Schizosaccharomyces pombe: one gene and its partner. The main gene of each other region encodes a partner of the protein of the gene in region 2 in a complex. Each region holds a gene or a part of one and is shown on either strand. Other genes may lie near its edges.

Region 1 (3,214 bases), 790 kb from region 2:
TTGTTTATACAACAACTCTTATTCCCACCACCTTTTCAGCGCACCCAGAAGTACCGTCTTTTGATCAGCTGTTAGCAAACATCTGTTTTGTTTTTTGATAATTTATAATGCTTAATGATGAACAAGCGTAAAAGAGTGGAAGAGCTTGGAGAGACGAAACATCGTCAAGTACGACAGCGAATTCTCCAAGAACACAAGAACGATATACTTGAAAATTTAGCATTTGAACGTAAGTTTTTGTACCTGGAAGTAGTAAAGTGTTAACGGGTATTTTTCAGTTTCCGATAAAGTACGACGTTTGCGCTCAAACGCTAGTTTACTTGCTTCAACAATTCGTATGCGAGGAGAAATGCGTATCGCCGCTATTCCTCGCGCTCAACGAAATATGCATCTGCGCGATCTAAAGAACCATCTTTCCTGCAATGTGTCTGCCACACCGTGGAGAACGTAAGTGTAATATCAAATTTTACTTTGCCATACGTACTACTGGAAACACTAATTGCTAATTACTATTTCAGAAAAATAAAAGAATTTTATAATCTAGACGAGCTTTCCTCCCAAAAGTCCGCTAGACAACCTACAAAAACGGTGGCATCCTCCTCTTCTTCTTCATCAAAAAGCACCACCGTTTCCAAATCGAGTTCAAAGTCGCAAGTGTGAAACCCTCATCTACTGCTTACTGTGATAAAATTTCACTACTACAAAGTTGGTATTCATAAACACTTCGTAGGATTCATTATCATTATTTTTAAAGTACATCATCCACACGATACCGAAATATTCTCATGTGAAGTCCATTTATTTCCCACTTTACTTTTGATGAGTAACTCATTCTTCTTGGGAAACTTGAACAATTTTGCGCATTCTGTCCATCACCTCTCGAAATATAGGACGTATTTCGTTAATTTCCATTGCACCCAAATTATCCAAAGTTAGTTGAACTTCATTAATGGCTTCCAATCCCGTTCTTGCTTTACTTTGTCTAGCTTCTCGAATGTCCAGCAAAATCCTCCTGATATCCTCAACATCCTCGATATCATCAGCACAGAAGTTTAACAATAAATGCGCCGTTTCTAGCCACCGAAAAGGCAACTCTGAGAATGTCTCGTTTTCCAATTCATCATCTCGTATGTTTTCAAGTTTGCCTATTTCCATCCATTCCGGAGGTACAATCCTTGCCAAATTTTGCTTTTTTAGCTCAAGAGCCAACCATAAAGGAACCCGACATTTTTTGGGAGGCTTCATAATGGGAATCGTCGCGCTAACTAGCGGCAATTGATCCATTGTTTCTGAAGGAACAATGTTAATATACTCATTGCCAGCTAAAAATTCCATTTCCTCTGGTGAGAATGAAATTTCAAGTTCCCTTGGTAAGGCCATCTCTATCACCAACGAACAGTACAAAAATGCCTATCAATAGTACCGTTTTTGGGCTTAATGTCTTTTTTTATTTAAAGTTTTGTTTTTCTATTTTGGAGTTCGTTTATAGCATTTATTGGTTGTTATTCCTTACAGCATAATTTTTTGTGTGGTGGGTTTCGGACTCATAATAGTCACCCTCATCTAAATCACATCTTGCTCTTAGGTCATCGGTATATGATTGTCAAATTTTTATATTTCTCGTTTTAAGGTAATAATTTTGAATGCAAAAACCTTCATTGTCACAAGACCTTATTTGGATATTGAAATCAGTCCAATCTCGTAGGTCTACGAAAGGGTTTTTGCAAAAACATTCTTCGCTTAAGGATGGCTCTCCCAACAAGAAATCCTTCGCTCAGCCAATATCGAGTTCGTTTTTAAACAGAATTTCTATTACCAAAATTGATGATGTGGATTCTTTAAGTGATAATACCCTATATGGAATTGGTCGAAGTATAAATAGCCTGGCACGTTTAGGGATTCAATCAGTGATTGTTCCCACTTCCAATCCAATTGGCATGACATCTCCTTTTAAATATTTGGAGAATGGTACGGTCGTAGCGAAAAAACGTAAACTTTCAATCTTTGAGGAGCTACAGCAACAGCAAAATAGAGTCATTCGAGTTTCGGAAATTTTTTCGAAAGCGGGAGTGTTAACCCGTCCTAGCTACTCCTCTGTATGTCAATTGGGCCCTGAAGGCCCTAGTGTTGAGAATGTGCAAGGTATTTTTCAAGCGCTGTCTTCACTTTACACGGTCATAGTGCCAAGCTCGATTTTAATGCCCAACGTCATTGAGGTTCCAATTGATGGTAATGAGGTTCTTGCTGGTTTAACTTACTCGTTACACAAGCCAAACTTTGGGTTTTGGGTAGACCGAATCGTCATTCTTGATAAAAATGGTGGCATGCCATGTTCTAAACGACAAACTGGTTCTAGTCATGTTCTCATCAATCTGGCTCAAGAGTTTGACGAGTTAGCGAAAACACTTCCACCTTATCATAGAAAAAATTTGATTTTGGTAAGACGCTGTTTGAAAATGTTACCGGATGATGCCTCTGCTCTAATCACTACGCCTGAGGATGCTATGCTTACAAATCCTGTCTTAGACAAAAATCCGTTAATTCACAATGTTTTGACGGATCGCTCTATTATTTCATGTTCCTTGCCGCGCGATCGATCTCCTATTACGAAAACAACTGTTTTGCGTAGCGGTGTACCGGTATATACATTCCTAGGTCCGAAATGTCTAACTGATGGCTCCGTTTCGTGGGAAAGGCTTTGGGTTTTAATTAATGACTCCTTTAAGCGAACGCTTGATATGGACGCATATTTAGATAGGTTGAAGAATTCGCTAGCTGCAGTCATTATTGCAGGGGACTATTTAGGGACAGCCATTGTAACTTATGAACAACCAGATGGAACAACGAATGAAAAGGTCCCTTATCTTGATAAGCTTGCCGTCTCACAAGGAGCCCAGGGTTCAGCAGCAATATCTGATGTTATGTTTAATGTTATGACTGATTTATTTCCCAAAGAGTTGATATGGCGCTCTCGCCTGACTAATCCAGTCAATAAATGGTACTTTGAAAGAAGTGTAGGCTCCTTAAAGTCAAGCAAAACACCTTGGAAACTTTTCTGGACTGGAGACTCACATGTCAGAAATTTGGATCGAGTGAACCAGTATATGAGCGTTATTGATAAAATTCAGCCAACATGGTTGAATTGAGTGGAAGTTAACGATTGCACTTTATCAGAGACAAGATTATTTCGCTTCTTCAAAAGCACTTGTCAAAC
Region 2 (3,331 bases):
AGAAGACACATCTTTTCTTAAAAGCTCTAAGACATAGTTTGTTTTCAAATTGGAGTCAATAGACCCGCGTTTTAGTAAGGTGGACAAATTCTTTTTATCAAATGTAAACACTGAAACCTCTTCGTTGGTTCCCTTTTTGGATGCCGAATAAACAGTCCAAGGACCTACTTGGACTGAATTTTCTTTCTGGATATCATAATCATATTTAATTTTTTTGGAATTTGATACTAAACATTCAACGTTAGAATACTTACTTGGGATACGAAATGTATCTAAATAGATTATAGAAATGACGATGAGGATGATCAATTACATAAACATAACTACAATCTTTCATACAGCGCTGATAATCGAGTTTATCAAGGAATATAGCATACCTAGTCGAAGTGCATTGGCTAACATAAGCTGAAAAAGTGGATGGCTTTGGAAAAAAACAACTTAAAACAACAAAAACAAAAAGAAAAAATTATAATTATTTTTGAATCCCTTCGAAGCAAACCAAGTATAAAAATTGAACACCTTTTTTTCGCGGTAGTATACAGTGGAGATGGTAGGAATGAATGGCTTATGGATGAAATTTTTAGGGTCAGTTCAAAAAGCAGTGAAACTCTTATTTGGGAAACAGAGGATTAAATAAAAAGACAATTAATTAAAGATTATAAGAAAGTCGTATTTTTTAGTTTGATAATCATAACTTAGCCAAAAAACCTTGGGCAATGAGTCGTTCAACGTCTGTAGCACGCACATGCAATTGTGAATTTTTAGTAAGGTTAATAGTACCATATTCAGTTTCAATATCTCCAACGTCCTTCAAAACTCGGACGTCTATGAACAAATTTTTAGGAGGAACCAAAGAACCAGTCAAATCCAGCTCGGACCAAGCGCCTTTATAAGCAGCCAAAAGTTCTGAATATCTCGTTAAATAGTCACGCTCATAAGTACTTAGAGATGTATCTAAACAAGATTCCATTCGTTTGCCTCCGCTCCAACAGTATTGACGAAGCCGCTGCAGCCTTAAATTATGGTAAGCCATTAAACATCGCTTATTGTAGATACTAGAAGAATGAAACATCAATAGAGCTGCCGCTTCAGAAGGATGGTCCTGGGGCTGGAAAGGTTGACTAGCCTCATGTGTAACATTTTGAAGAATTCCTAGACTTTCGCGATCTGCTGCACGAATTTCGTTGACAACATCATTAACGGTGTCCGCTTGGTAAGGTGGGAGATAATCTAAATACTGAGTTCGCTTTGAGTCCCGAATTAATTTATTTGATCGATTCCCCAAACCATTCTCCATAGTGATTAGAAGCACTAACTATCACGATATGCTTAAACAGATTTTCCTAATTATGTTTAGTTTAAAAGAAACGGATTAGTATAATTAACAACGACACTCGATAGTTGTTTAAAGCTATATTGAATGGTTGTGGATGACAAGTCGTTGGAAAATGACATGTCTTTCATAAGACCATAATGATGCATTCCTTAGTAGAAATTTTACTGTAAATAAAACATGGATCTTTTATAACAAAATTATTAGTTGAACCTACTATGCGAATTTTTAAGAATTTATTATTTAAACATTCACACAGATTTAAAATGAAGCGTATACTTACTTGGATTACCTCAGTTTCATAAAGTAATGTATACTAATTCAAAGGATTGAATGAGCCCTAAAGGTATCATTAAACCGAGTTCCTCACATCGTCACACATGGAATGAAGAGATGATTTAACGAAGCTTCAAATTATCAACTTACAAATCATTGCTACTAAAATTATAGAAACCAGATAAAGTTTCATTTCAAAATAAAAGAAAGGATATCATTCAATGATTACAATTCTCACGTAATATTCAGAACACAGTACGATGTGCTTGCTTCATCGGACAGGGCTTTAAGGGAATAAAACAATCACATTGATGAGAAATTAGAATCTAAAGGGGTACAATTTAAAACCTATCACTCATATCCAAAAAATGGCAAGGCATATTTAGCTTCAAATAATTGAGCTTTAATGTAGCTTAAAATGATTTTGTCAGTAAGACTTTCTTTTCTGCTTACAACATAAAATCCAATCGATGTATTGGCCGTACTCAAAAAAATCCGCTTTATGTATAATCTGCGGAAGATTACACAAATTCAATAGCATGAATATCACAAAGAGCCAACGAACCAGTCCAGAGTAACAATCTGTTACAAAAACAAAACTTTTGATGCTTATTGATGATAGCAAAATACATGATCCAATATTTTCTCTTCAAATGATAGGTATAAGGACAGGGAAAGAGTCTCATACGTAAAGTAATAATATCTCAATTATTTTTTATTTCAAACGAAAGTTTCCCCTTTTTTTCCACTTAAGGAAAATTCCCTAAAATCCAACGACTTTTAATTAAAGGTTCATTAGAGATTAGTAATTATCATTACACGTATTATTTACATCGTTTTTCGATTAAAGCCAAACGATCAGAACCATGTTCTTCATATTCTTGACGTGATATCCATAATTGATGAAACGTTCCAAGACTACTTAAAATAGATCCACCTAACCATGAAGCATAACTGCGTTCAACAACATGACCGGAAGCATGGATTTTAAGACGGCTGCCAGGATATAATTTTGAAAGTTCATTTTGCAGACGAAGAGAGAATCCTTGCATCAAACTAGTGCCTCCACAAACAATAACATTGTTGAGCAAAGAAGCACGGATATCAACATCGCATTCCGAAATACAGTTCTGGAACAACTGAGGTATCCCCAAAATGCGAGAAGAAGTGTTGGTAACCGAAGAATCTTGTTGTGATACCTCATTATTTTCGGTTTGTTCTATTGGCTTCGAAGGTTCCTCGTTCATTTCTTCATCACTTCCTGGCACAAACAAATGTTCAGGAATTTGATAGCGTTCCGCGCCAAACATCATACGGGAACCGTCTGGAAATTCGAACTCTGATTCAGCAATCGTGGTTTCAGATGAAAATGGAACATCGGAAATGAGAGCACATTCTTCTTTCCATTCATCGTAGACTCGCTGGACCTGAAATTGATGATAAGAATCTGTAGTATCACGAGGACGTAACTCACAATTAGCTGGCTGCCCTATCTCCACTGGATTTTTGCTTTTCACTAAGTACTTAGGCATCACTTCGAAATTCTTATCCCTGAGAGTTTGCGCCAAAATATCGTTAATTGCATTCCCAGAAAAATGTTGAACCTGATAGCCTTTTTGAAGCACAAAACCATCATATATAGCAGACACCGAGCTACGCTCCGCACCAATGTCTACTAAACAAGCAGTACCTTTCCCGCTTGCAAACGCCGCACACGTCTCC

Evidence for each region.
Region 1: psf1 (region 2) and psf2 share a complex: the UniProt entries of both Schizosaccharomyces pombe proteins name them as parts of the GINS complex.

What each region holds. Positions count from the first base shown.
Region 1 is NC_003423.3:1,227,648-1,230,861, forward strand, and holds psf2 (GINS complex subunit Psf2), read right to left. Parts: upstream 1,541-3,214; 5' UTR 1,381-1,540; coding exon 829-1,380; 3' UTR 661-828; coding exon of another isoform or gene 519-660; 3' UTR 501-518; downstream 1-500. Other genes in the region: nbl1 (borealin N terminal domain-containing protein), read left to right, coding at 115-229, 279-447, 519-660; acetylglutamate synthase Arg6, read left to right, coding at 1,644-3,146. UniProt on the Schizosaccharomyces pombe protein: The GINS complex plays an essential role in the initiation of DNA replication. Has a role in chromosome segregation and is required for bir1 localization.
Region 2 is NC_003423.3:2,013,466-2,016,796, reverse strand, and holds psf1 (GINS complex subunit Psf1), read right to left. Parts: upstream 1,436-3,331; 5' UTR 1,298-1,435; coding exon 689-1,297; 3' UTR 501-688; downstream 1-500. Other genes in the region: serine/threonine protein kinase Ppk32, read right to left, coding at 1-227, 378-402; alp5 (Ino80, NuA4 and Swr1 complex actin-like protein Arp4), read right to left, coding at 2,434-3,331. UniProt on the Schizosaccharomyces pombe protein: The GINS complex plays an essential role in the initiation of DNA replication.